Drosophila melanogaster: one gene and its partners. The protein of the gene in region 2 interacts with the protein of the main gene of each other region in a pairwise test. Each region holds a gene or a part of one and is shown on either strand. Other genes may lie near its edges.

Region 1 (7,735 bases), on a different chromosome or scaffold from region 2:
GTTTTTGCCTGCCGCGCATACAAAGCACTTGCATTTTTTATGACCAGCCCAAACACTTTTAAATGCATCTGCAGCATCCGCATCCATATCCGCATGCAGATCCGCATCCGCAGGAGCATAAAGCCAGTTTAAAGCAAAAGCATGTAGACGGAATGCATTTTTTCTTTGCGGATTATCGAAAAAAGCTCCTTAAATATTCATTTTGGCATTGTGTTCACACATGCGGAGGAAGGCAGCGGAAAATAAAAATATTTTCATCGGGTGTGGGAAAATATTGGGAAACAAAGAAATTAATTCTAATGGGAGAAACGATTGGCGATGATGTGAACAATCCAATGAGAGCAGCAACAACTAATACAAACTGCAGTTCGTTGCTAATGAGATGAGTGCAATAAAAATGTAAATCAAAACAGAAAGCCGATTGAACAATTGGTCATAAGTGGTGCAATAAGTGCTCGCGAATTTGGTGTTCAGTGTGGCCTTTGGAATTGACCAGTAACAGTCGGGAAACAGTGAAACTGCACAGTGTCTAATCAACTCACTAAATTGGCAAAACTTAAATCTTGCCCATGCAGATGGCACTTAAAAAGGGTTTAGCCAGCTCGGTCAGTGGCGGAAATAAAAAGAAAAACATTATAAACAGCTTAAATAGAAACTTTTTGCACGCCGGAAACCAGAAACCATAAACCAAGTCAAAAACCACCAGACACACACACACACACACCAACACACACAAGCACACCCAGTTGGACATATAACTATGGACTATACAACTATGAGTACAAAAGCAAAATCAACTTGAAAGTTGCATGTGGCCCGGCTTAGTATTGGACTTTTTTGGCTTTGCCATTGTGTATATAAATATATATGCCATATATGTAAATATCGTTCACTTTTCACTGCAAGTGTGCAAAGCCCTGCGACATGAAGTCGGATTTTGAACTCTGAACCCTGGACTTGGTACATGGAATACTAGTTACGAACTGCTGGCGTTCGGTTAAGTGAAGTGCACTAACTCTAGAATGGGTCGCAAAAAGAAGCTGCCGACGGGCGTAAGTAGAAACCCATCCAGGATCCCGATCCAGATCCGTATCCAGCAAGTAGCATGTCTTAAAGCCGCCAGTATTAGCTAAACGCCGCTTACCTTAAACGCCTCCAATGCCATTTAGATGGAAGCCAGACAATCAGCCCAGCATCCTCCACTTTGCACTTAATTTTCTTGTATGTTTATTTTTTATTTATTTGCAATTCCGCATACACGATTTCCCCCTCGCCACATCGGCATGTACGTATGTGGCTCCTGCTCACCTGTCTCTTTAAATTATGCCAGGTATCGTCTGGCGTCAGCCACGCCTCCTCCGCCCCCAAATCGGTGGGCGGGTGCTGTGTGCCGCTGGGATTACCACAGCCTCTGCTGCTCGAGGAGAAGAAGTTCCTGCTGGCTGTCGAGCGCGGCGATATGCCGAATGTGCGCAGGTGAGTAGCGCTTTTCACGCCTCCGATGCCCAGCAGGGAGGGGGGGGGGGTGGGTGGTGTTTCTGTATGGCATCTTGGGCGGGAGGGATACACTGCAAGAAACTCTTACCACAATCAGGTGTTGGATGAGCATTAGTATTCAAAGTTAATGTACAAGCTTAGCTAATGAATGTATCAATCGAGTAGAACCTAATGTATATTGATATATTTAGCCTTCAATTTAAAAGAAATAGTTAAACACACTACCACATTTATCCGAGTGTAGGGTGTTCGAATAAAAACCCTGACATTTTTAGAGGGGTATCACGAGCTCCAATGGTGGCTTCGCCCAGGGTAACACAGGTGTTGACTGGGCTGGGTCGCACAGGTACCATAAATCCCATCGGGAGCCTCCTTGGGTTCTTTGGATGCGGTGCTGGTGGTGGGTTCAATTATTTGCACACTCGTCTGCCGCGGGCCTCAAAATGGTTACCTAACTGGCATCCCGGCAGCCACTTAATAAGCAATATGAGGCCTTCGACCCGGATACTTTACGCTCGTTTACGGCTTTGCTTTAACAAATGTACGATTAATTCCGTTTGCTGGCAATGAATAAGAGATAAGCCAAATTATCCAAATACTTTTCGGTTGCCACTTAAAGCTGTTAACATGCACAATCAATTCGAGAAACGAATCTTATTGAAAAGCAACTTTTCGGATAACTTAAGTTCCCTTACCTGAAAGCACAACTAAACCTTACTTTTTGTTGACATCCCAGGATGTCATTTATGAACAATTCTTTATTGTTTTCATCGGGCGAGTGATACGGTAACAACAAGCAAATGAGCCGTGTCCGGGGTTCCTGTTTCATTTGTGATTCCCAATACGCTTTGGAGGCATGCACGATGTCCATATAATCTTGCATCTAATGTGAAATTGTGGAAGTAGTGGCGAAGTTAGTGCTAGTCTTGGATCTTGAGTCTACATGGAAATACGGCAACAACAAGCAAATGGGCAGTGTCCTGGGTTCCTGTTCTTCGTGTGATGCTCCTTGCGATTTTTAGGCATGCAAGATAAACCTATAAGCTGACATCTTATGTGGGTAGGGTGGCGAAGCTAGACCTAGTTATGGATCTTAAATCAACTTGAATATTGAGGTGCTGACGGTGCGATGTGGGTAAAAGTGAAAGTGTGACGGCTATGACGTCTATGACGGCTATTTGGGACGTTTTGGGAACATTTAAAAGTTGATAAAACGGTATGGGTTGAAGCTTTTCATCTCGTCCAGGGTGTAGCGGTAGCGGATGCCCTTCGAAGGCTCCTCCTCGGAGCCGTTCGAGTCGTCCTCCTCCTCGCGGATCTCAGAGACCCGCTCCACCCGGATGCCCTTCATCTGGCAGGCGCGGCGGTACAGCTGCTCCTCCCGGTCCATGTAAAACTGGCACGATACGCTGTGATTCGGAACGGGCGGCGGTGGGATCATGGGACTAGCCCCAAATGGAATCCCTGCTGGCCCATACGTAGCCGGGGCAAACCAGTTGTTGACCAGACCGCCTCCGGGCACCAGCTTCACAGTCTGGGTCTCTACAAGATTTAACGAACATACTTTTCCTACACGAATCTTCCGAGAACACACTTGGCTATTGGCTCACCCTTGTTCTTTTGCGCCATTTTGATCACCAAGCTTTGACCCTCGGCGGCATCCATTGGGTATTGAGTTTTTTAATCGTTGGAGCGTACAAATAATTTAATCGCCTAATATTGGGTGTAGTGTGCAATCACTGTAATCGCGTCTTGGAAGCGGATTTAGTTTCTTTGAATTTAGTACAACAATTTATGTTGACGAACGTTCGTAAAATCAAAGATTTTTGGCCTTAAACACTGGCAGGTGAAAACTAGTTTTGACACATCAACGCCAGGATAACTAGATTTCGATTAATTGCCAGGCAATGTACACTGCAGTGTTGGAAAATTTGATATATTTCGTGGAGCTCCTCCAAGTCCAAAATTTTTAACAGCAATCACTTCTCGATTGAAGTTATTATTAATAAGATAAATACAAATTTCACAACATAAAAAAAAAAATCTTCTGCCTTTGAAAGTGTACATTTTTCAAGCTTAGACTCCATTAAACAATCATTGGACTACATAACCGGTGCAAACACAATTAAAATCGCAGGACCAAACAAATACGAACCAAAAAAGTGATGGTGCTCAGAAGAAGAAAAATTACTCCGACTTCGAAACGCAGCGAGGCAGAAATTTGATTGTACCAAAAGGTATGAAGATGCACGTAAGACCTTAGCAGCTGAAAAGACTCTTCAAAATTTCATAAGAAACAAAAAAATATCAATTTTCCAGACCTTTGTAGAAGAAATTTCCAAAAGCCTTTAAATCTAAGACAGCATCAAAAATTAAAAAAAAAAAATACAAACAGATTAAACGAACTTGCAACGCATGGGCTCCAGAAGAAGATGAATTCCTAAAAATGTTGAAAAACACTCAATCCACTAAAGCAATATCACCCGACCCAATAACTGTATTGTTTCTACATACTCGAAATCCATTTGAATGAATGGACTTTCTAATCTATCTAGCAAACAGAAAGCCAGACTCGCGCAATGACAATATAAAACAATATAAAAGCGGATCTATTTAATCTGCTTAACAGAATATGGTTATCAGCTCAAACCAGAGATCAAAGCTGTCCCGATACCCAAAAAAAGCATACCCTTCAGTGGTTTCAAGCTTTTTACCTATGTATATGTCTCATAAGCGTTCTGTTTAAGATAACAGAAAGGCTAATAAAAATTGGATTGGACCACCACATTTCATGTAATCTCGTGGACCTGGCCGCTAAAAATGCATCGACCAAAGGAATTTTCACCGTAGTAAGTTGAAGCATTAAAGATGCCACGACTGAAATTCACTTAAAAAGACAGGGAAAAGAAATAAACAGAATTTTCTGCAAACAAACAGCGGCGATACTGCACACTTTTCTCAGGCACATTAAAAAAACTATGGTTTAAAAATCCCAAATGTCTAATGTCAATAAGTCTACAGAAATCAAAATAATTACAAGACTTCTTAGCAAAAACGCATTTGACAATTATACTTTAAATAAAATGACCAACTTAACGTTGATAACGTATCCCACATCTTATTCAGCTGTTTCAAATACAACAATTTCAGCCCTGGAAAAACCAAAAATATAAACGCTTACTAAGACATCAAATTAAAATAAACCTATAAATCTTTACAATCTTAAGTCCTTGGCAATTTCCACGTACACGAGGGTGGCCAAATAATTTCACGACATTTAAGAATGACGCGGTAACGTAAAACACAAAAAAAAAAAAATAAATAAATAAAAATTTGATATTAGTCCCTTTTTCGGCGCCCAATTGATTGGGAAAGTTTGTTTGAAGGCTGCGGCCGCGATGTAATTAGAAACTTGGACTCCAACTTTTGACTTGACATCGGGAATTCTTGGGGCATCGGAAATCTGTGCACAGGAGAAGAAAAGAAAAGTTATTGTGGACCCTTCGGTGGGCGCCTAGCCCCAATTAGCAGCAATGCCACCCTCTTTATTAAGTAAATTCAAATAATTGCAGGATCCTGCAGAAGGCGCTGCGCCATCAGCACATCAACATCAACTGCATGGACCCATTGGGCCGTCGGGCCCTCACCCTAGCGATAGACAACGAGAACCTGGAGATGGTAGAGCTGCTCGTCGTCATGGGGGTGGAGACCAAGGACGCCCTACTGCACGCCATCAATGCGGAGTTTGTCGAGGCTGTGGAGCTCCTGCTCGAGCACGAGGAGCTTATCTACAAGGAGGGCGAGCCCTACGTAAGTCATTACACAGACACCTGGAGAAATCGAATGCTACTATACCATTTAATTAAAGCAGTACAAAAGAACAAAGAACGAAGCAAGAGTTTTAGTAGCTAAAGATACTTTTATTAAGATCATTCTACAATAATTTGGCAGTGGTGTTATTTGTTTATAGCCGTTGCTGTTTTTTCTTCAAACAAATATTTTATTTTGAGCAACAGTTCAGATATAGGGTAAAAATTAGATAACAGTTTACCATTTACTTAAAGATATTATATTTATAATTTGATAGTTTTAATTCACTGAGATACACATTATTCACAATGGGGGTTTAGGTCCTTTATCTACGTTTGGAACTTTTTTTCGCAGTGTATCCTTTGTTTTGTCTGCTGTGCTCAGCTAATTTGTAGCCCACATTATCGTCCGTAGGCGTTGAGGCCCTGTAAGTTGAAGCTAACACGATTTTAATCAGTTTCCGTGCGAGGAGCGTGGGGCGTTTGGATGGATGGTATGCTTGGAGTGGCCGGAGTGGCCCACCCATCGGGATCATCTTCGCCATTGGGCACGTACTCGCAGGATCTCGACTCTCGAGTGATTGGGAGTGTGCGATAAGCGGCCAACGACCAAGAACCCCCACATCCAACCACATCCATCCACATTCGCCCACATTCGCCCACATCCGTCCACATCCCCTCAAAATCCAGTACATTGAGGACCTCTCCGGCATACGGAGAACAGAGGACAGGATACGGTTTACGCTTATTGCAAATAAAGTCGTCTGGGCTCCGTCGGCCTCATATTTATGCACACAGGCACGCTTCATTAGGCAGCCATTGGGCGCTGTTGGAGCGTGAAAATTACTATTGTATCGCATATGCAATAAAACGTTTAACAGGCTTAATAACATCCACAAAACGATGAAGACGGCCCTCTTCGAGTGGGCCATTGAGCAGTTCCTGGAATAAGTTTAGGATATTTTGGAGGAACAGCCACCGAGATTGACAAAATGTAGTTCAGTCATGTGAGGCAGTAGACAAGTGTATTAAGTGGAATTCCGATTTCTACAATAACTTTATGTGCTTTACAATAAATGTAAATTTTTTTTTTAAAAATGTAACGTGTAGAAAGGTCTAAAATCGATTTTCGTGCTGATTAAAGTAATTCCCGATTATTTCACTAATTGTATGCTTACTTATTAATTAAATGTTACGTGTAACGAACAAGTAATATCAAGTTGCTTACTGAATAAAATCTTTCATGATTATTTGACTTCATTGAAAGTAATATTTTTTATAAAATGTTGCGTGCAACGCACATCTGATATCAAGTTGCTTACTGGATATTGTAGGCAATACTTTTTTAGCATTGAATTATTATATATATTGAAGTGAATATATTTTTTCTTTCCACAGAGTTGGCAAAAAGTAGACATAAACACGGCTATGTTTGCGCCGGATATCACGCCTCTGATGCTGGCCGCCCACAAGAACAACTTTGAGATACTTCGCATTCTGTTGGATCGCGGAGCAGCGGTGCCAGTGCCACATGATATACGGTGAGCTGGTACATCTAACATGGGTCCCATATCCCATTATTAATCACATTATTAAATATAGTTGCGGTTGTGAGGAGTGCGTCCGCCTGACCGCGGAGGACTCTCTGAGGCACTCCCTCTCCCGGGTGAACATCTACCGGGCTCTGTGCAGTCCATCGCTGATCTGCCTAACCTCCAACGACCCCATCATCACGGCCTTCCAGTTGTCCTGGGAACTGAGGAACCTGGCCCTCACCGAGCAGGAGTGCAAGTCAGAGTACATGGACCTGCGAAGGCAGTGCCAGAAGTTCGCCGTGGATCTGCTGGATCAGACGCGCACCTCCAACGAGCTGGCCATCATCCTGAACTACGATCCGCAGATGTCGAGCTATGAGCCCGGCGACCGGATGAGCCTGACCCGCCTGGTGCAGGCAATTTCCTACAAGCAAAAAAAGGTATGTTTCTCCGACGTGGTTCTGCTGCTAAAATTCTCCATTTCCTGCGATAGTTCGTTGCGCACTCGAATATTCAGCAATTACTGTCCTCGATTTGGTATGACGGCCTCCCCGGATTCCGGCGCAAGAGCATTGTGGACAAAGTCATCTGCATCGCCCAGGTGGCCGTGCTCTTCCCGCTCTACTGCCTCATCTACATGTGCGCCCCGAATTGCCGGACGGGCCAGTTGATGCGCAAGCCCTTTATGAAATTCCTGATCCATGCCTCCTCCTATTTGTTCTTCCTGTGTGAGTATGTCGAGTGCGGTCGGTGCACAAAGCAAACATGAGCATGAGCTCCATTGGAGGAGAAGCCCACAATGGACAGGTACCCTCAGTGGGATTGAAGCATTCAGTATCAAACTTTTTCTATTTTAATAACTAATATTATTTATTAATGAACTTTATTAAAAAA
Region 2 (7,339 bases):
CACTTCCACCAGCAAACGAAGGAACTGTGTAGAATAATTATCGCCATCACTGCTGCCCTTTTGTGGGATTACCGAGATGATTTTCTCAAAGTCTCCGATCTGGGCCTGAACAGCCTTCTCCAGAGAGATTTTCGACAGCCAAGATGGAAGATTATTGGCTGGCACCTCATTGTGTCCATTGGTGGTGGCCTCAGACATGATGAATCTGCCATAAAATTAATTTAAAATAGCATTAGTGTCGTGCTGATAACAACGAATAAAATTCTTTAACTTCACTGTTAGCATGGCTAACAGGTCGTATACGAAATGATTGTTCGACAACATCAAGCATAGGTGGCGCCACTCTTCCGTTTTTGCCAAAGGCGCGGAATATTTGAATAATAAAATCCGTTCTGCTTTTGGCCCAGCCCATTCAATAAGGAACGTCTCAAGATTTGTGTATTTTTAGAGAATTATATCAAATGTGCCGACAAATTGAGTATCTTGAAATTGAGTCTAATGCGTCGGCGGAAAATTATCATAACGGACACTAATTGGTACAGTAAAATAAAAAAATGAAATAACCTTAAGTGCAATAACTTTTGAATGATTTCCCATGAAGTTATCTCTGCAAAAGTCATTATTACCCCAATATGTGGCACTTCTTTTATTCCACACTTGGAAAAGTCAGTAAGCATATGACTCAAGCTAATACTTAGAAGTGCTAATGCCACTCTCAAGTGTTTTCTTCGATACTTGAGAAGAGTTGCTGCACTACCTGATATTTTTATATTTTTTTTAAGTGTATAAGACTAGAAAACTTGTAATACTAATAATTCCGTGGGAAATGCATCATTGTGAAGATAAAACTTTATCGAAGTACATAGTTGGAGAAACGTGATTTGACGATTTGTGGTCATTCCATTACGGGTAATTACCGAACTTTGGTGGGGCTTTTATTGATTAGGCAATTATCAGAATTATCGCAAATTAATGAGCAAAAATCGTAAATCAGGTCACATGCCACCGAATGAAACACTTGTTATAAGTTTGGAGTACATTACGAAACACAATTCGGGGAATCCTACCTAATCGAACTGAAATGATAGTTTTGATTTTTGAACAATTTTCAATGCACTTTCTTAGCTTATAAGCTAATTTCACTCTTAGTCGCTCTTTCCACCACAAGAAAAGTTTGAATACTAGATGTTAGTCCCATCTGAACTATGTTTTTATAGCACTATTGGGGGTTGGTCAAAACTGGCGGGTCGGATCCCTAGATTCGGTGAATGGCCCAATGCGAAAACACATACAGCGGTGGCAAACCTTTTTCCTTAATTGGTAAACGGAGCGCACTGATAGATCGACTGCAATCCGGCCAACTGTCGAGTGGGAAATACGAGTGGTTGTGCTCGGGAACAGCGGTATTGCCCCGATTTGGGTATGGGCCAAGAAATTCCTTATCGCATGCATTCGATTGAAGTTTTTTTTTTTGTAATTCAGTTCGCCAAAACCGGCAAAAGAGTGGCAATTGGCGTTGGCGAGAGTGGGTGCGCGATAGCGTGCCCGAGCGAGAGGTGTGTGATATATGATATAGAGACGCAAACACCGTCAATTGTTTGATTGATAACGAAAACAGTTTCTTGTTCCCGCTCCTGATTCGACTTCCATATCGGGATCGGGCACCCGAGTTCCTCTTTGCGCTCGCCATTCGCTCTAATTATTTCGTGATTCCTCATTAATTGGTGTTTTTGGGCGTGACATGTGATGGGTAGATAGACAGTTCACCATCGGTTTCCGCACGAGCACCACGCACTCAATAAACAATTATTTGAATATTATTAATCCTACAAAATGCTGGTCTATATGGGTACCAAACGGCATTTTGATTATCTTTGATTGTGCTTTAATGGGGCAGTTATGTTTTGTTTTATTATTAGGCCTGGCTAGTACAAAGCGGCTAGAAGTTAAATATATTTTCACATACTCATCATTTAAAAACAAAAGTGTGCTTATGAGATTATGTTTACCATCCGTCTAATGAGAAACTTCTATACTTCACTGAATAATCATTGCTCAGTTACAAGCATATTTTATTCTTAAAATTCGTGCATTAGTATTTTATTGAAAGCAGTACATTTTATATGTCATGGTATTACAAATTTTCTTTCCCAGAGAACGTTAGGAATCACTTTAGCAATAGTATTCTTTATATATATATAATGTATAGCGAACTAGCACTGGAAGGCCCCTCGATTGTTCAACCATTTGAGAATGGCGCTAACGTGCTTCTTATATCGGGCATTGGAGTACATAGCCAACTTTAGACCATCGCCATTATCCGTCTCGGTGACGAAATCGGTCAGATTTGCATCTTCAGTCCGATCGAGCAGCACTGGTGGGCAGAGAATAAAAGCAATGTGATACCCTACGATTGGAAAAGAAATCAGAACTTGGTTATCTACAGCTTTGCAGAGCGAGGTTTCCACTTACCAACTCGTCCATATTTCAATAGCTGAGTATGGAGGAACCCCAACGTGGGGGTTTTTGCTTCGGGGTAGTTCAGCATTCTCAAGTGCTCGACCAGGTGATCGTGGTAGTACTTGATGAAGTAATCGAACTGACTCAATTGGATTTCGAATTTCGTCGAGCCCAGGAGGAAATAGATCAGATCATATGCCACGCTCGTGACCTTGGGCAGTTGGAGATCCACGAAATATGTCTCGATCGGTTCGGGCGACTCGTCCTCGTACTTAAACATGATGTTGCTGGTCCAGCAATCTCCATGATTCAGAGCATTGAAGTCCTGCGGATCGGGCGTGTTCATAGCATACATAAGGTCGACGATTTTAGGTTGCATCTTGTGCTGTACAAATAGATTATTTTGTGATGAACCGTGCAACCAATTGGTGCATATAGCTAAAGAAACATACAACCGCCGCACTGTACTCCTCGTAACCCTCGTAGAGTGGCAGGCACTTGAGGAAATACTTGCCCAAGGTTTCAGCCACCTGTTCGATGCTCTCCTTCATGGTATCGGCGTACGTGGGTTGCAAGTAGTTCTGGGGGTACGGACCCTTGAGATGGATCCTGGTGGCCGATACCGCATGCCACTGGGCCATCTTCTTTAGAACACACTTGGTGTGAACCATGTCTAGGCCCTCCAGGCGATCGACGTTCCTGAAACCCAAAGGACCCAGATCCTGCAGAAGTACGTAATCATCGGGCGCGTCGATTTCATAAGCCTTGGCCCCAAACTTGACCTCCACGCCCACATCCTTGTACATCTGTTCCAGCTCGGGAATCACCTGAATGAACACATCCCTCTCCACAGCAAACATGTTGTTCTTCCTCAGAATCTCGCGATACATCTCGAAATCATAGGGAGTCTTCAGCATATAGCTCACATTTTCGATTGTGTGATCTGATGATGGAAATTTCTGCTTGACTTTCCATTGTTCACCTGTGACTCACACTCACCCTGCAGTTCGACTTCAAGCTTGAGGCGCAGCATAATTGTGGAGTAGTTTTCTCCCGGCTTGAGCCCGGCTTCCGGCTTGAAACTTTTGATTCCGGCATAATTGCCGCCGTAACGTTTACTTAGCAATTCTTCGAATAGATTTGCTCTCAGCCAGGTGGGCATAGGCGCTGTTCCTGTCTCAGCCGTCATTCTAAGCAAACTAAGAGTTTATTTGCCGGCTGGTCCCGTACAAACATGTGAGCAAAACTTTTTTTCTCTGTATCTTTGTTTGCTACCAAAACAAATGCCAATACGAAAGCTCCAAAAGCTTGTCGGAAAACAAAGAGAGTGCTGGATATGGAGAGTTCTCAAAACAACTTGTTTTCAAAGTCTCGAGTGATACATACATATAGACCAAAACAAACGTGGGGGGATGCATTTATACCCATATAGAAGCTTGTCTGTCATATAAGTGTAAGTATTTAAAGACAATAAAAATAATTGTATGACCATAAAAAAAAATGCTTATAACTATACTTATAGTTATATTTACCTATATGTAAACTCCGGAACAAGTTTTTTATTAACCACAATGTTTGTTAAACACTAGTTAGGTCTTTATTAGATATTACACAATATGCTACTTCTACTATACTGTATATATAAACCTTGAGTGTAATTTTTTCGTTATACGCCATACGATTTAATATTGTGCATTCTAAGTATCTATTCCATAGCTCCGCGATGCTGAAGCCATGGCAATAGAACCTCCATATGTTTGCGAAATCTGGGATTAATGTATAGCGAGTTCTTAAAGCTACAGTCGTCATCACCAAGAACCTTATCAAAATCGGCTCCGTCCACGGGATCCAGGAGGACATATGCCAATATAGTTGCGGTGCAGATGAACGCTGAAATGTTTTTTTTTATAAGATCTGAACTAATGATTAAGTAACGATTGAAAACTTACACCATCCACTGTATTTGTTGAGAGCGTCGTTAATTCTTCTTAAAGTGGGAAGAGTTTTCGAATATCCAAGCAATTTCAGATGCTTTACCAATTCGGAGTGGTAAAACCATATGAAGTAATCAAACTTTGATGTTTTTATGTCCAAGCTTGTAGAGGACAAAAGAAAGTAGTATAGATCCTGGGTCACTGATCCCCACTTAGGGACTTGCAGATCGACAAAGTAGGTATCCTGTATCTCGCCTTTCGTATTGTACTGGGACATAATGTTGTTGGCCCAACCATCGCCATGGTTTAACGCAATAAATTCATCAGGACTCGGATTGTTGAGGCTCTCCACAATTTCGAATGTCTTGCCGGAGACAATGCGCTGTAATTAATGATAAGATAGAAGACTTGAAGATACGAATATCAAAAGATAAATTACCCACCAGATCATTTAGATAAGTTTCGTAACCCTTGCACAGATGGACGTTATCCAGAAAAACTTTTATGCTCCGATTAATAAAGGCATCTACGATTTCCTCGTTCCTTAAAAAACCCTTTGTGTACTTCTCCTGATAAGGACCCTTTGTTTCTACGCGAACGGCAGAGGCCGCATGCCATTGGGCAAATTTCTTGAGAACACATTCGGTGTGAGCCTGGTCCATGCCTTCGAGGCGATCTATGTTCCCGAATCCACGTGGCCGAAGATCCTCCAGCAGGACGTAGTAGTCGCTGGCCTCTATGTCGTAGAGTTCAGCTCCAAATTTGACCTCCAATCCCACATCGCGATACAGTTGCTCCAGCTCGGGCACTACTTCCACATACATTCCTCGCTCCACATCGAAGATATCTGTCTTCTCGATTACTTTACGATACTGCTCTGACTGATGGGGAGTTTTAAGCATAAATGCCTTGGTTGTTTGAGTGTTATCTGCAAGGTTTACAATAATTGAAAGATAATTTCAGTTCAAATACGCTGATACCCTAATTCATTAGTCCTATAGAATGAATTTAACGAACCTTCTTTCTCAACATCCAGTTCAATTCTAAGCATTACGGTGGCATAGTTTTCGCCAGCAGCGACTCCTGCATTTGCCCTCATGGATTTCGTTGCTTTGTAATCCTTGACAATCCTTTTAAGCAGCTCCTCAAAGACTGTTGGCTTAACCCAATCCGGAATGGTGACCTGTTTTTGGCTAACATCCTCATCCTTTGTCTGGGGATGCATCTTGTAATAAGCTGTTTCAGTTCAGCGCACTTACTGCAAGCTTAGAGCACTCAGCGAATGTCTTAAATACTCTAGGGAGAAATAAATCTACATGTGAGCGATAAGCATTACCTCTTACCTAACAATCAGTCAACTGTTTTATATTAATTTAGTTTGTGAGAAGTGACTGTGCTCGAAAGGTGCGTCCGGAAATTTTAAAACAATCCCTCACCCCACAGAGTAGATTATCATAGTGACATCGCAGTTTCTGCGATATTGGCTCAATATAATATATCTTAATCCAAAGTAACTCTAAAGTGTTTAGATGATGTATTTGGGAAGATAACAGGCGCATTTCCAGCATACAATTTTCTATTATTCTATTTGGAAAACAAACGTATGGACAGGAAAAAATCTTTCGCCTTTCCATTCTGAAAATTAGGGTGGCCCTTTTCTCATATCACCTTATAATTACAATCCGATATTCAACATCAATATTTTGTATCGTTTAATTTATTTCTAAGTAAAAATGATATCTGCAAATAGACTAATTTTAAGAGATCATTTGATATTTTACTCCAAGGCACCACGATGCTGCAGCCAAGGTAAGACAACTTTCATATGCCTGCGGTATCTGGGATTGGTGTAGATGGAATTCGTAAAGTTTGAATGCTCGTTCGAAATGATCTTATCGAAATCAGCATCATCTGTGGGGTCCAGCAGAACGACTCCCATGACGGATATAGAGCAAATGAAGGCTACAATAAGATAATACGTATAAGAAGATATTATAATGGTCTTAACTATTATAACTAACTTACCCCATCCACTGTACTTGTTAAGAGCATTGCGAATGCTTCTTAAAGTTGGCAGTTTCTTAGAGTAGTTCAGAAGTTTGAGGTGTTTCACCAACTCTGAGTGGTAGAACCAGACGAAATAGTCGAATTTCTCCGTTTTAATGTCCAGGCTGGTCGATGAAAGCAAGAAATAATACAAATCCTGCGCAACTGATCCCCACTTCGGCAGTTGAAGATCCACAAAGTAGGTATTTGATATCTCGTTTTTGTCGTTGTACTGGAACATAATGTTGTTAGACCAACCATCGCCATGGTTGAGGGCATTGAACTCGTCGGATTTTGGTTCCTTAATATCATTATATATATCGAATAACTTTTCTGAAACACTTTGCTGTAGTCAGAGAAATGTTTGGATTAGAAATGCACCTATATATACAAACACAAGTTAACTTACCAAATCCTTTATGTAAGCTGCATGTCCATCGTACTGATCGATATTATTTAGCAAAATTTTAGCGCTGCGATCGCAGAAAAAGTTCATGATTTCTTTCGATTTGAAAAAACCATTGGTATACTTTTCTTCGTAAGGGCCCTTGAGGTCCACGCGAACTGCAGAAGCCGCATGCCATTGGGCGAACTTTCTCAGGACACTTTCGGTGTGAGCTTGGTCCAAGCCCTGCAGGCGGTCTACATTCTTGAATCCTCGAGGCCTGAGATCCTCCAGTAGAACATAGTTCTCGCTCACCTTTATTTCGTAGGCCTCAGCCCCAAACTTTACCTCCAAGCCCACATCCCGGTACATTTGCTCCAGCTCGGGAACCACTACCAAATACATTCCGCGCTCCACATCGAAGATATTCGTTTCTTGAAGAAGCTTGCGATATGCGTCAGTGTCGTGGGGAGTTTTTAGCATGAATGCTTTGGTTACTTCCGATTTGTCTAAA
Region 3 (5,978 bases), on a different chromosome or scaffold from region 2:
CATCAAACATTTTATTTACAGCAAATTTACGCATTTTGGACTTTCGAACGTGGCATTTTTTATGTTTTTCGTATTTTTGTCGTTTGTTGTTTGCGTTTGGCGTTGAGTAGCGGAAATAGTAAAAGTTTTCTAATGAGAAAAGTTTCCTCACAGACAAAGAGAGGAAGCGCCGGCGACAGAGACAGAAATATTTCGAGGGAGTGAGATGGCGGGCGTGCGAGAGGGAGAGAGCAAACAGAAGTGCTGCAGGAGAAACAGAGATGGAACGACATCCTTGTTCATGGTGTATTTAATCAGTCGCCTTGTCGCTGCTGTTTCTGTCTCCGTCTCACACTCAAAAAATATTTTACTAAATTTTGAAATTAGAAAAAAATTCCAACTATAGACCGGAAAATAATTTAAACTATTATATCATTCGAAATGTATAGGATTTTTCAAATATTTATGGTTACCTCTTAAAATCGGGTATTAAGCGACCAGTAAAAGTGTCATAACTTCCATTCCTGTTTTCTATGAGTGCACTCCTTTTTCTTCCTTCGAAGGATGTGCGAGTGTTCACATCAAAAACTAAACACGTCAAAGTAAGCAACGGAAATGAGAAAAAAGTGCGCTTATTTATTTTTATACTTTCTTTTCGACCCAACCCCCTCGCTTCCCCACCACCCCCTGTTGACAGTTTTTTGCGTTTTCGCCTGCACTTCTGTTTGACTTGACGAAGGAGCGAGCGAGAGGGAGGCGGAGTGGGACAAGGACAGCGAGATCCCAGCGGCGACATCAAAGCGCGTTATAATTCCGAATTATGCAAAGCTTAGCAAACGTGGACGCATTGTGGCGTTTACAAGCGGAAATAATGAAAAATAGCGCGAGACGCGGCATCATTTGTCGCCTTCGCGTGGGCGAAAATATGGGGGCGTGGCCAAGCGGAAGCGGCAGCAGATTGTTGCATAACGTTGTAACGGCAACAATACCGGAACACGGAGATTGCAGCTGTAAACCGAATTCGCTGTAACACCTTGACTACTTGGAATTTAAAGGCTGCACTGTGAAAAACATGCAACAGTTTCAGATGACAAATCCACCACAAAAACATTGATTTCAATTAATTGAAAGATACTTCAATTGAAGACACTTAAAACCATTGCTCAATTTTGAATTTAAAATTAATAAGTTATATTATTACATTTTATTTTGCAATATATTTTATATTTGCTCTCTGACTTCTCTCAGTCGAATAGAATTATTTGATCATGCTATCATTTGAAGTTTTCAACTCAAGCGGCAACTTTGTCTGTTTCGCGATGTATCTACAAGATGCATCTTGGCCAATAATTATTTAATACGCTATTAACGTGTTTTTGTCTATCGCCTGCCATGTATCGGCCACAACTTTACAAGATTCTGGATAGCGTTTTTAACAAGGCAATTAAATGCTGCACCCAGTGGATTTATGGGGTATATAAAGAAGTCGAACTTGGAGCAAACGTACAGCAAAAGCCAAACGAATTGTACGGGTCATTTTCAACCATTTTAGTGAGCCGTAAGAACGTGACAGCTCGGAAATGAAGCTACTCTGCGTTGTTTTGGTTATTTACGTTGTGGCTCTGACCCTCTTCGGAGTCGATGGACGTGGTGGGGGCACCACAAATGGAGTGGAGGTAGGATTCGGTGGTTTAGTGACCTATCAACGGGCTTAATCGTCTCTCCTTGCAGGAACCAAAGTTCGTCGGTTTGTTCAGGCGGGTGAGTACACAAAGAATGGGTCAAACTGAAGGCCAGTGATTGCTAAGACTATTGGCCCTACAAACGAAACTAAAGGCGCCAGAACAGATGAAGCAACTAGATGCCCAGGAGGCAGTGCACTGGCGGCGCATTCACAATTTAGCACTCCTAATGCAAAATTATGTTAAATGCCTACTTCTAGGCAAGGCGCCATGTCCCCGCAATGAAAACCGCCCTTCTTCACGGCAACGAACCGCCTCCACCTCCGAAATTCCGAGTAAGAACTTAGTAAAATGTAGAAAACTAGAACATTTATATAAGCAATTGTGTTGCGGCCGTATATCGAAGGGCCTTTCTGTTACTTTATTTTTAATTGGCAAATTAATATTGATATATATATTAATACATAATTTGCGAAATATTTCCAGTCCCGTCGTGATACATTGGAGGACAAGCTCGTGGCCAATGATGATCCTCCACCACCGCCGCAGTTCAGAGTAAGCACAGTCCGCTGTTCAAAATAAGTGGAGTGATCCTTAACCCATTACTATTCCTCCATCCTCAGCAACGTCGTCAGGCTCCACCTGGAATGCCACCACCGCCGGACGGCCTTCCACCACCACCCCAGTTCCTTCTCTAAAGTAATGTAAAGCATAAAGTTGGGCGTTTGTGCATGTATTTGGGAACCACATCGAAGCTAATAAAAGTAGTTTGAAGCATTCCAAAAATGACCACACCCGAATTTCCTTAAGCCATTAACCATAAACCATAGAGGGTAATTTTCTGGGAAATTCAACGGGCTAATCACCTTGTGCAGCTGCTCTCGGGATAATGGGCCATAATCCTGTGACAGGTAGAGAAGAAAACCTGTTCTACCTGCACCATCTATTGCTCCTATTTAAGGTGAGTCTGTGCTCTTCGGAAATCAGTTTACATTTGCCAACAGATCATACAACACGCACACACACCTTTCGAGATGAAGTTCGTGGCCATTCTTCTGCTGAGCAGCCTCACCATTGCGATGGTTTTGGCATTTCCTGATAACGACGATAAAAATGTTCTTGTGCCAGCTGATATGCAGCATGTTGCTCCACTGGCCGCAGCAGCAGATCCCCCGACGTCGGCAGACCAAGTCTCTAACAGCATACGCGGTCCACGCCATCTCCTGAGCAAATTGTTCCAGCCCAAGACCGTGGTGGTGCAGCCAGTGATTGTGGAGCAGGTGGCTCCAAGACAGTACCCCGGATACGCACAGCCCTATCCGTACTACAACCAGGGCCGACGCTACTGGTAGACCGTATTTTAAGCAGCTATTTGTAACCGAATTTAATAAAATAAAGACGCCTGGCCTTTAAGTCAAAGATTAATTTTGTTGTTCTTTATTTTGTGCGATGGCAAATTCCTTAGAGTAGCAAATCCCTTAAGTTGAAAACAGTCGCCGTTTTGCTGGCCGCGCCAACAACTCTTGTCGAGAACTCCCTAATGCCTAATTAGTCATGCCGGGCACGTAGGAGCGATTCCCGAAAAACTTAGTGAAGGTCGCGCCTCGGTGACGATGACAACAACTGCCACAAAGGACACAACGTTGCGGGATATTTAAATAATTTTATGCAAGCGATTGGCGGCTGGCACAAGAGTTCGCAGGAAACTCAAAAATGGGACACTTTAAACGAGAGTGTAGTCAATTGTTCACTACTTACTAAAACTATTTTCAACAAACAACAAAACTCAATCGTGCTGACTGTTTTTATACTCGTAGTTACACGTAGAGTAAAAGGGTAAAAGGGAAGAAGAAAGCGTTTTCGACCATATCAAGTATTCATGATCACGATCGATAGATCTTAGGTACTATAAAAGCTAGAAAGTTGAAATTAAGCAGCGCAAGTTTATTTCACGTTGCCACGCCCACAGTTCGGAAAAATACTTGAAATTTGTCATTGTTGTTGAACTTTCTTCTTGAATTGAATGAATGGATTTAGTTTTTATCTATTCAAGAAGGCAAATAAAATGTAGTAAATGTATTTCTTATGAAAGATTTTTTTTTTGGTTCTAAACAATTTTTTAATTAAGTAATGCGCCCATGGGATCCCAAGCAGGCAGTTCTTTCCATTTATGTATCCTTGCGGCATGTAAAACACCCGATGGGACAAATTTTTCGTGGACTACAATCTCAAAAGCGTACTCCCTTAACCATTCGGCGTCCAATTTGTTATCCGGTGGTTTGACCGACTTCTTTCTTAATGCCTTCGTAACCTTTTCGTCCACATCGTGTTCATTAAGACCTCCGGTGGCGGGAGACTCGCCAATTGTAGAAGCATTTATGAAGCGAAACTGTACGGGCTGTTTCAAGGTGTCCAATCCAACGGATGTAAGGAGCAGGGCTGCATCCCGTCGGGATGCTCTGTAGTCAAGTCTCTCTGCTTTGGTGAGCGACTCGCCCACTTTAAAGCCAAATAGCAAATCAAATTGATGCGATCTCAGGCTTAATGGACCGGACTTCAAACTGATTGCTCTACGAATATCGCAGGCCATCCAAACGGGTTTATCACCTTCCAGAGAAGTCACCATGATCTGCATTATGATGTCCATTGATTGGTTATTATACCTATGAGGTTTTCCGCCCATCATATTCGAGCTGTTGGCAACCTGATAGTTGCTATGGTAGCTGGATGAGATTCGCGGATCGTGACCCAGACAGACAAAGGCGTCTAGATTCACCGTACAGCCTACCATAACTTCGTAGAAATGGACCGCTGTCATATCATTCAGGCACTGGTAACGCTTTTTGTGGTCGTAGAAGGACCAGGTGAAAACCTTGGGAGGTTCACCAAGGCAGATGCATATTACTTTGAAGAGATGCGGAATCATTTCTTGAATGAGATCGGGGAGACGGCAGCCATTCCCATTAAAGGTGAACTGAGCATGCAGCATGCTGGCATATTCACGTAGCTTTAGGTGAAGGAAATATATACATATGTATATAATATTCAGTACAATACAAAATACCAACCTTACTCTTCAGTATGAGGTTCATTTTTGTAGTTCGCTGAGTGGAGTGGAGGTAGCATTTCTTGGGCATAACTCCGTATTTTTTGACCAGATTAACGAACATTTGCCAGTTGCCTCCATCTGGCACTGGGTTCTTAATTAAATTCCGAAAGCAGCGCCCATCCAGCGGTTCGCAACGCATTAGAAGATCGGCGACCGTCCACAGGAAGTAGTTGCATCGCTCCAACTTGTGCCAGAAAAACAAATGTGCGGCGGAGAGTTCAAAGTCCAGTGGAAGCGGCAACTTTCTGTCCATCTCCTGGCACAGCAGGTCCAGGCCCGTGCATATCCATCCCGGACCACCGGTAGTGGCCTTGCCCTGCCTGCTCAACTCTATCCAGGTTTTCACACCTGACGGAACGGAGCATAAGTCCGCCTCGGATCGCAGGCATACAGTGATGGGATCTTGAGCGGTGCACACATTCTGGGCCAGACGATTCATCGAAGACGCGTAAAAGGCGGAGTACCAGGCGGACCACTGCGGTTCGGTCAACAAAAAGCTCATTTTCGTATCTTGACGAGTGATCTTATTCCGAATATCTCAAGTGGTTGACATTAGAAAGCGCAGGAATAGACACTATAAATTTAGACCTATCTTTCGGTCCGAATTCGTTTCGTCTATTTATCGCAATTAATTGGATAGAAAAGCAGTTGTCAAACGCAACGTGTTTGGGCACGTGTCCACTTACAATCGATTATTTATCAATCAAATACCGGATCGATAAAAAAAAAACACATCTCTAGCTGCTCGCGCGCAGTTCGATATTTTTGCTTCACATAACTTGAATACCATTGTTTTCGCTTTTAAGTTTCAGCCTATAAATAAAGTCATTAAGATAAAAAGTTCACCCCACATATCCATCCACTGCGTTCATTCCGCTCATATTAACAGAATTGACATTGAATTTGAAAATGGGAAATGGCAGCGAATCAATCTTCGAAATGGACAACAAGGACACAGATAAGATACTTGGTTTGTACTGACTATGGGTTGCAAATCAAGCTCTAGATCAACCTTACACATTCTGAACGATCCCTCTTACGCCGACAAGCCGCCCAAAACTAAAACTTTTTATATATTTTTATTTGTCTTGTAAATTTCTATCGATTTGCCCAAGTCGACTATAGCATTCTCACTTAACAAATTTGTAGCAGTTTATTAAATATATAACTGTCAACCTGATATAGAAATTTAAGATTTAACATCGATG
Region 4 (9,695 bases), 1.8 Mb from region 2:
CAAGTCGCGACAACGTCACGCCGAAAGTCGCTAATTAAGAGCGGAGTCCTCAAAAAAATCCAACCGATCGATTGCGAGCGATGTGGATGGTGGGATATTCATTGAGCGATTTTCGCACGTTTTGCAAGTTTCGGCTTTACGAATTGGAGCGTTTTCGGTTTATTATGCCCAGATCTGAGTTGTTTTTTCATGCGTTACAGAATGTCGATATTACACTTGTATGGGCAGTTCGTGATCCACATGTAGGAATGACGGAGTTTATAAATTGCATATATATTTTGTATAGAGGGCAGTCTGATATCTATTTATAAATTTATGGTGTCCATTGAGTAGTCACACGAAGTCGGATATTTGCAATTGAATTGTTCAGATATCATAGGCCAGACACTTTGAATGCCAAGGTTTAGAGTGGGATTTTAGTTGTCAGAGTCCCGTCATAAAAAAACTGGTTGAAAGTGGTGATGGAAAAGTTGTTACTTCTTAATTGTGAAACGATGCGTATAAATTATTTTAAAATTAAATTATGTTAAGTAACATAAAAAAAACCCTACGATGATAATTTTAAGAGAGAGGGATATTCTTTAACTACCAATTGTATGTAAACTATAGTTCCTAAGAATTTCTATTTGAATAATACAATTTCAATTGTTTCGCAAATGATTCAGTTACCGGTTCTATTCGGTCTGTTCGGCTTATTGATTTTCTAGCTGCTAATTTAAGTGTTTGGACACGATTGTGAAGAAGACCCCAAATCATGGCCCAAAAGGTGTCAATATTTGTTGGGGTATAATCGCATGATTATCACATGAGCAGCTTAGCTTGGCTCAAAAGGAACTCCCCAGCATTTGAGACATTTCCATTTAATCTAACATGCAATTGCTTATGCAAACGCCAAGCAGAATAAATCAATATTTACTAGATTACGCCTCTATATCGATCACTTAGCCAACTATCAGCATCGATCAACAAATGTGGAATAGTTCGTTCGTCAAGACCGAAAGGTGGCTTCTTTTGAGGCGGCACTCACGTGCCGGCAATTAGCAACCTTTTAGCAAACTATTGTCTATCTTGTGAGATAGCAATCATCTAACTGCTAATATTAGTAATAAAGCACTTACAACCACGATTCGGGGAGCCTCCCAACGCACTTGAGATGCTCCTCGAGTCGCAATAACTCAATTATTTGGCCATAATGAAAAACATCAAATCCGATTGAGGCAATTTTACGAGCGATCTGGTAACTAGACATACTCACTCCTCGCATATAAATACTTAAAAAGACATTAAACGAGACGCCGAATACGGTGCATACAAATCAGCCCACTACTCTCGCCCAGATTTCGCATAGACGGGCGCACCTGCAAACCGTGCTGAGAATCCCAGATAAGCGCACCAGTTTTATCAATTAAAAACACCTAGACGGTAGAATGGATCCGCACGGAATACTCTATCAGTGATCGAATATAGAGTTGGCGTCATTCCACAAGCCTCCGAGTGTCCAAAATGTCAATGGGGGCGACAGGAGGCGATTTATTTTTGGCCAAAAATCGCGACTTGTCGTCCGTCGAGAATGGCTTAAAATAGACCCATTACTTATCAGCCCTAATTGATTAGCGAAGGCATGGGCTTACATCCCACGCAATGCTCAATCAATTCAACCTTATCAATTGTTTTGCTTTATCATTCGCTAAAATCTTGTGGCATACTTTCGCGAGGGGCGCCTAAAAGATTGAATTCAAAGCGGTTCGTCGATGAAACGTACAAAAATCTTTATTACAAACTGCAATGCAATGCACTTAGGTAGTAAAATGAGGGACAAAAACAATAACCGAATTTTTAAACAATAAGCAACAGAAGATTATATGAAACTGCTTTATATGGCAAATATCGACCTGAATATCGCACCTTTGGCAAACAGTTTTGGCTTACTTTGGTTTAGATTTCGAATTTAATGAGTGCAAAATAAATGCTAAACTAGAACTCAATACTAAACTACTATTCGAAGAATTTGCACTTTAGGTAAAAGTTTTTGTCATGGTTTATAAATATAAATATAGAAATATGATAGTATTGACTTCGTTCTCCAGTCCTTGTGATGTACAGGTCATGTTTTCCGCTTTTTTAGGTATTTTCGTTTTTTGGTATTCAGGTTTAACGAGCCAAGCTTTCTCGTTCTCAAGCTTTCACATCAATATAGAGATTTAATAGGTAGTTATTTGGAGGGCCAAATAGCTAGATCGTTTTGAAAAATGATTCCATTTCATTTCGATGGCAGTTTAGTCCTCCTTCTCCTCTTTGGCGGACATGAAGAGCTTCTGGCAAGTGAAGGTCACCGAGTCTACAAAGGAAAACCATATAAATGTCGGACAATGCCACACATTGGGGTTAATGTGAAGGGCTACTCACCAATCGTGCTCTGCACCCATTTCGGCTTATTCTTCCACACGACGCCCACGTAGTAGAAAGGTATGCCAATTATGGTGATTAATACCCCCATTCCGACCTCATAGGGCGCCACATAGATGGGCACGACAACTAAGAATGCGCACACGATGACGAATAGGGCGGGAATCCACATGGCGACCTGTGCCAGGAACAAATATAGTTAGAATAGTCTTGCTAAACTGTTAGGCTCAAAGACATAATCAAAGTATTTAAATTTTTGTCAGTACAAAGATTTCGTTGGCTGTAGAACGTCTACATTGGCAATACTGATTACGCTAAACTCACTTTAATTGGCCGCTCCATGCAGGGACGGGTGTAGCGGAAATATAGAACCGCCGACACCGACAACATTATAAAGAACGATTCCACAATGCTGGCGTAGGTGATCAGCACATACACATCGCTCACCACCAGCATCACAATGGAGAGAAAGCACTGCCGAGAGGGACACAGTCAAATCAATTAGGGATTAATTACATAATATCATTTGTGCGCTAATTGAGGAGCGCAGCTCACCAGAAAAACGAGCGACGGCAGTGGGGTGTAGCTCTTTACGCTGATGTGCGACAGAATCGCCGGCATGTGTCCATTGCGGGCACCCACGAAGCAGATGCGGGAGGAGGTCATGATGTGGACGGAAAGGCCGCCAAAAGCAGATATGGCCACCATGAGGGGTATGATCAGTGAAAACACGCCGAGAATCTTATCGCCAAAGGTCTGTGAAGAGAAGTGATCAATTAAAATCATTTGAAAATCCACTGGTTTAATTGACTTTTGCGATTCCGATCAAATAAATTAAAATTCCCAGCAGTCTATCGCAATTTTGCGAATTTAAGCTACAAATAGACAAAGTCGGACATTATAGGGCTTGCATTATGCTTGATAACTAACAGATTTTAAGCTTTTAAGTAAATTAGTAATTTGACTGCCTAATCTGATCGGACTGCAAATCGTGGATAAACTCTTACCACAGCGATGGCATTGGATGCGATCATCTCCGAGGGCGACAGCACGGCCAGATAAGCCACATTGGCCAGCACATAAATGCCGGTGACCAGAGGTAGGGAGATGTAAATGGCGCGCGGCAGGTTGCGATATGGATCGCGGAGCTCCTCCGTCATGAAGTTCAAGTAATTCCATCCGGCATAGGAAAAGATACCGGAGTAAAAGGCTACCGACATCTTGCCGGGATCAGTCTCAGTGTTATCAAAGGGTCTCGTGAAGTTCTCCACGTTGCCCATCATCATCCAGACCAGGCCTACCAGGATGATCAAGACCAGGGCGGCGATCTTGGTGAACATGATGACGTTTTGCATCTTGGTGGTCACCTTCATGTAGTACGAATTCAGGTAGGTTAGGAAGCAGATGGTGATGGCTGCCAGGAGCTGTAACGCTATTTTGGGAATCTCACAGGCTCCGCCGAAGAAGGGTTCCAGCACGTAGGAGGCAAAGGTCAGGCCCATAATGGCATTGGTCGTTGGTCTGTCAGAGATAAGAGCACACAATCAGTGGAAATTTTTTTGCAGACTGCATTCAGACATATGTCCTGCTGATAATGTCCGCATGCAAAAGTAGAAAAGCAGATATTTTCGCTTATCGCCGATCCTAAACAACAAATATAGCAGGCAATAAAACGCTCAATGCAGAACTCGCGGAACTGTTCAATAAATAAACTTATATAGCGCAGATTAAATGATAAGGCTCGTTTCACTTTCTAATGCTCTAATACACAACCCATGGCTTAACCTTGAAAAACCGGATGCATCCACACCAATCCGAAGTATTCCATTCTTCTAGTCTTATCTGAGAAGTTATTAAACTTGACCCAGTCTAAAAATCAGATTCTGTAGGACTACTTCACTTCATTCAATCTACATACATATGTTATTTCGTTAAAAAAAACGTAAAAACGCAAAAAAGAAAAAAAAATGTCAGCTATTACTTTTACTCTAATGGGTTCCTTCTGGCGATAATAAAGTAATTCGAAATCAATTACCGAAAGGAATTTGATACTGTATTTATGTTTTTCGAACCAACTGTGATAAGGGAACTTTAACGGCGAAATATTCGCGAATATTAAAACAATATTGACCAGTAAGACTCACACGAATATCATCATGGCATCCCAGAGATACAGGAAAGCCGGCAGTGATCCGTAGGCCTCGAAGATATACGCGTAATCCCCCCCAGATTTTGGTATGGCAGTACCAAGTTCCGCGTAGCAAAGAGCACCAATCATGGACAGCAGTCCGCAGAGAACCCAGATGACCAGCGAAGCGCCCACGGACTCCACCTCCCGGATGACGCCTTTCGGAGAAACAAAGATACCGGATCCGAAGATGATGCCCAGGATGATGGCCACTCCTTCGAGGAGGCCCAGCTGCTTCTTGATCACAACCCTGCTGCTGTCTGACTCGGCGGATCCCTCGCGACACTGAGCTTTCTCGGCAGGATTAGCCGCTGGTTGGGCAATGCTGGAGGGAGGATTGCCGGAGCTGGGGGTCAGCAGGACCATTTCGCTGGACGGCGACTGCAGTTCATCGGCGGCGGGCATGGCGGCTATATATGTACGTATTATGTCCTAGGGCTATGGTATTATTATCCCGCTGCTCTGTGACACAATCTTCGCACGCGACGTCTGAAAGCGAACTGTAACTGTTTCTTTGGCCGTTGTCCCGTTAATTGATTAAACGAGGCAAGTGTGTTCGTGGGTGTGACTCCGTGTACATATGTGCGTGTGTGTATATTTCTTAATGTGTTTTTCAATTGTATTGTATTTGGCTTATCTACTCCTGCTCTTCCTCTTCTTCCTTTTCCGCCGGCTAGCGTTAGTTTGTTTTGGTCGGCTCTTCGCTAGCTGCCGTCTCGCTCGCACCAGCAACACACCCTGCAGTTGAGTCTATCGCACATAAAACTCGCGATTTAAAAGAACAATTCACACTCTGTCTCGCGGAATTCGGTTAATGGGTCTGGTAAATAAGGGCAGACATCGAGGTGTAACCGCCAAATTGTGCAAACTCTGCGGTTTAATTGTGGAATTGGCACAACGTTGCTCAAAGGTTTTTCAACCCCACGTTTTCTCGAGCATCGCAGCAGTGTGACCAGCGCCCGGCTGACTGTAGAATATCAATTGATGCTGGGGTGTTTTTCTTGCGAGCTACAGGGTGCAATTTTTTATTCAAAAATAATATATATACAATATGGCCCCGCCGACTTTCCCGCTGTCGGTCCCGTACATAAGGGTAAAATGAAATTGAAAACTGAATTTTATACATTCCATATATTGAAATATTAACGAGAATTAATATACAATTACTGCGTGAGCGTACGTGCTCTCACGTGCTCTCCTCTGATTTCTTATCGAAACGAAAAGTAGACCACGTCTATCGCCTATCGCCAATCGATATCAGTATCCAAATAGATGAGCTAAAAGCAAATCGACAGAGAAATACAGATCACAAAATGGATTTTGGGGACCTGCTGCGCTACGCGAAAAAAAATAGTGATGCGGTCACCAAGGAGGTGGTGGGTATCATGCAGATGTCCAGTTCGTCCATCGCGTGAGATTTTATGCTTGGAAAACGCGGTTGCGCCTGCATTCCCTTTGTGACCCAAAATAATTTATATTCGATCTGATCATTGTAATTTTTCTCCTCTATCGCCAGGGGCAGGGGAAATACTACAGCACCAAGTATTCGCCCCCCAAGAAGCAGTCCAAGGAGTCCAAGCAGCTGTCCAGCAACATCCAGAAGTTTCTCCAAAAGAAGGAGGCCGAGGAGGCGGAAAAGAAACGGCTGGAGCGCCAGAAACTCAACGATCTGCTCGCCAAAAGAGACGAAAAGTCCAAGAACAAGATACGTAAAATGCTAAAGGTAACCAAATCGGCCAACAAATCAGTGCTGGAGGATGCCAAAGACTACGAGGGGGCCATCGACGGCCACGAGGCGGGCGAGGGTCAGGGCGATGACTACGGCTACGTGTCCACTGAAGCGAATGCCTTTTACGATAAGTACATTGAAAAGGTACGCGATGTACAGGAAGACAAGGGATTCACGCCCAGCAGGCCACAGTCGCTAAAAGATCTCTCTGGGACCAAGGAGCGCGTGAAGGCGGCCATTACCAGGGAACGAGAGGAGGCCAAGGGTAACACACGTCAGAAAAGCAGCACAAGCACACTCCCATCCAGCGCTACCAAGTCGAAGGAGTCCTCCGTGGCCCGTTCTTACAGTACCTCCAAGACTCTTTATGATCCGAACGCAGAGAAGCTCGAGGAGGAGCGCAAAAAGCGGCAGGAGGAGGAGCAGCGCCGGGCGAAGATAAAACGACCTGCTCAGCCGCCGCCCATGGACTTCCAAGCCTTGCTTCGCTTAGCTGAAAAGAAACAGCACGAGCCCGTGGTTTTTGAGGTGGAGAAAAAAAAGGAACCAGAGCGTTTGTTGTCGGCCCGTGAGAAACGCGAGTTGGAAGAGCGCCAGCGGCAACAGGAGCAGCGCGCCCAGCGTCTCAAGATGCGCGAAAGTGAAGGCAAGGAGACTCCGAAATCCATCCCCAATCGCATGGAGCCTAACGGACGCATCCCCAAGCTTAATCAAGCCAAGCCAGCCAATGCACCAAGTGATAGTTTTAAAAAACCAACTGCCCCACAGCCAACGAAAAGCAGCGCGAGCTCCACCAGTTTATCCAGTTCCAATTCCCATTCCTCCGCCAGTCGCAGTTCTGTCTCGAGCTCAAGGCCCGCTACTAAATCAGCTCAATTGACTGCCAGACCTGGCGCAACTGCATCGGCGGTTGGAAAACCGAGCTCCAGCTCTAGCAGGGATGTCCCATCCAAGAACCCCTATGCAGCTACTTCCCTAAAGGGAACTGTAAGGGAGTTTCCACCTAGGGATCAGTCAAGCATCTCAACCTTGGATCGCCGAAAAATTCCGGCAGCTGCAAAGACGCGACAGACTCCTTCATCGGATGTTCAGAGATCACAGGGCGGGCGGCAATTCCCGCCCGCAGATGTCAAGAGACGAAAACCTAACGAGCCGCCAGTCACCAAAAGTAAATACCAAGTTTGATATTAAAAATGATTTTAGATTTCATATTTTGTTCTATTTTTAAAGGACGCATTTACGACGACGATGATGAGGATGAATACGATTCTGAGCTGGATGACTTCATAGATGATGGCGACTGTGAGGAGGATATATCTTCTCACATCCGCGACATTTTCGGGTATGATAAGCGTCGTTATCAAGGAATAGACGACGACGATCGTGGCATGGAATCCAGTTTTGCACAAGTGCAGCGCGAGGAGTTCATCAGCAAGAAGCTGGGTTCGTAGCAAACCGCATGACCAATAAAAACCCATAATAATGATTATATATTCGCAGGAATGCAAGAGGATCTCGAGGACATGCGCATGGAGGCGGCGCACAAGAAACAAAAGAAGCTCGTGGCGAAAATCAGCTCACGCTCCTAGGACGGTATTTCATCTCGACGTGGGCTAATCCGTCGCCATGTAAAGTGTACACCTGATTTATCTCTTGGGCTTAGCAACGAAAATTTAAGCCCACTCATTAGTTTTTGTTGTATTACGATGCAATAAGATGAAATGCAGAGTAGATTGACGGAAAGGAGAACAGGAAAACCAGAGAAGTGCACAGGAAGAAGCGAATTCTGATGAAGATTGGTTTGCTGAAAATAGCTTATTTTTATATCATATTTTAGTCGAATATCCATGGTTAATGCCACAATGATTATAGCGGGCTCATATTTGGTATATGTACAAGTACATATGTAAACAATATATAATTTTGTGTGCGGACGACTACATCGTGTAGCTGCCATAGGAACATTTGGAAAATTATTATAAATAATGGAAAATGAAAACTTTCTTGCGTTTATTAAAGTTATTAAGTTACTCTAAGAAGCTCTTTAACTTACAATTGTCGTTTATTTTTTTTATACAAATACAAAAATTAAAACAATCATGAAGTTTCGACATTCGTTGAATTGAAATCCTGATGTGCGTTTGCCATTTATGGTAAATCCATTTTGAAGACAATATCCTTTAGGATTTACTTCTTGTCCTTGGCCTGCAGCTTTGAGTGGATCATGTCCTTAAACTGCGACAGAATCTTGTTTTCGCGCTTCTGTCGCTCCTCCTTGCTGAACATGGCCAGTGCTCGCTTCTCGTCGGCGGAGTACAGCTGGTTCTCCTTGCGGATACGGACGGCCTCCATGCGACGATGCCTGCTGCCGCTCATCACATAGCCCACGGACTCGAAATTGGCGATTTCATCGGATGTTAGGCCGATTTCACCACGGCGAGGAATTCTCTTGCCCTCGGCAATGTAGGCAGCCATGGCGGCACCTTCTCCTGGCAGCAAGGCCTTGCCGAAGTCCTTTTGATTAAGACTACCGCCGGGTCGCAGCGAAGGTCCAACGTCCTCGTCGTTGTGCGAGGCACTTTCCTTGTTCTTCGACTTGCTGGCACTGGAGGAGGAGCTCTTCTTGGACTTTTCCGCCTCTGACTTACGCTTCTTCTTCTTCTTTTTAGACTTTTTGTCCTTTTTGCTAGTGGAGGACTTCTTCTTTTTAGGCTTCTTGATACCGTCGGCTGTCTTTTCCAGCCAAACATCTTCCTCCTCGGACTCATCTTCGCTGTCAGAACTGGAACTGGAACTTGAGCTGCTGGACTCGTCGCTACTGTCTTCGCTGCTTGAAGAACTGGAGGAGGAACTCGACTCTTGTTTGCTCTTTTTCTTTTTGGATTTCTTTGACTTTTTCTTCGACTTCTTTTCAGATTTCTTGTGCTTTCTCTTGCCCTTTTTCTTTTTCTTCTTGGGTCCTATGTAAGAACCCTTCACCAGCTCCACATCGTCGGTTTCTGGCCGGGAAGGGCTCTTGCCCCAGACCTCTGGCACGCCTTCCTCGCCGATGAGAACTCTCTGGTTTCTGCGGGCATTCACAGCCTTGGAGTCACCTTTGAATTGGTGGTTAGACGATCCTCTACCTCTGTGCTGCGACCTGAACGATGGTTCGGCGGGATCATTAATGAAACTACCCTCGGGAGCCCTTCCCCGGAAGGGATTCTGCCGCCTATCGTTGTTTTCATGATAACGATCGTTGGGCCAGCGTTCCACGGATTTTGGGCGGGATTTGCGGCTTCTGGACGGGCTTCTCGAGGAACTGGATCTATCACTGCTGCTGCTGCTGGAGCTTCTGGAGGGCGAGGAGCGCGTTCTACGGCGGCGAGGCAC

What was found.
Region 1: the proteins of CG10559 (region 2) and CG1690 interact in a two-hybrid assay, tested with the Drosophila melanogaster proteins (one large-scale study listed by BioGRID).
Region 3: the proteins of CG10559 (region 2) and CG13427 interact in a two-hybrid assay, tested with the Drosophila melanogaster proteins (one large-scale study listed by BioGRID).
Region 4: the proteins of CG10559 (region 2) and gb interact in a two-hybrid assay, tested with the Drosophila melanogaster proteins (one large-scale study listed by BioGRID).

Annotation. Positions count from the first base shown.
Region 1 is NT_033778.4:9,754,708-9,762,442, forward strand, and holds CG1690 (uncharacterized protein), read right to left. Parts: upstream 3,362-7,735; 5' UTR 3,163-3,361; coding exon 3,108-3,162; intron 3,040-3,107; coding exon 2,696-3,039; 3' UTR 1,586-2,695; downstream 1-1,585. Other genes in the region: trpl (transient receptor potential-like), read left to right, coding at 1,023-1,052, 1,331-1,476, 5,070-5,307, 6,705-6,847, 6,909-7,281, 7,335-7,569.
Region 2 is NT_033777.3:25,312,456-25,319,794, forward strand, and holds CG10559 (uncharacterized protein), read right to left. Parts: upstream 3,662-7,339; 5' UTR 3,650-3,661; coding exon 3,460-3,649; intron 3,404-3,459; coding exon 2,913-3,403; intron 2,846-2,912; coding exon 2,473-2,845; intron 2,408-2,472; coding exon 2,214-2,407; 3' UTR 2,039-2,213; downstream 1-2,038. Other genes in the region: CG31087 (uncharacterized protein), read right to left, coding at 1-198; CG10553 (uncharacterized protein), read right to left, coding at 4,166-4,350, 4,410-4,776, 4,838-5,322, 5,412-5,619; CG10560 (uncharacterized protein), read right to left, coding at 6,172-6,356, 6,420-6,786, 6,850-7,334.
Region 3 is NT_033778.4:20,535,983-20,541,960, reverse strand, and holds CG13427 (uncharacterized protein), read left to right. Parts: upstream 1-2,644; 5' UTR 2,645-2,695; coding exon 2,696-3,013; 3' UTR 3,014-3,084; downstream 3,085-5,978. Other genes in the region: CG13428 (uncharacterized protein), read left to right, coding at 1,560-1,655, 1,711-1,740, 1,922-1,996, 2,148-2,216, 2,285-2,359; CG13423 (uncharacterized protein), read right to left, coding at 3,781-4,668, 4,730-5,272.
Region 4 is NT_033777.3:27,106,721-27,116,415, forward strand, and holds gb (genderblind), read right to left. Parts: upstream 5,551-9,695; 5' UTR 5,000-5,550; coding exon 4,551-4,999; intron 4,314-4,550; exon of another isoform or gene 3,928-4,313; coding exon 3,414-3,927; exon of another isoform or gene 3,163-3,413; coding exon 2,962-3,162; exon of another isoform or gene 2,881-2,961; coding exon 2,731-2,880; exon of another isoform or gene 2,609-2,730; intron 2,585-2,608; coding exon 2,407-2,584; intron 2,339-2,406; coding exon 2,277-2,338; 3' UTR 1,747-2,276; downstream 1-1,746. Other genes in the region: CG5815 (uncharacterized protein), read left to right, coding at 5,908-5,970, 6,111-7,491, 7,554-7,766, 7,824-7,912; CG6066 (uncharacterized protein), read right to left, coding at 8,511-9,695.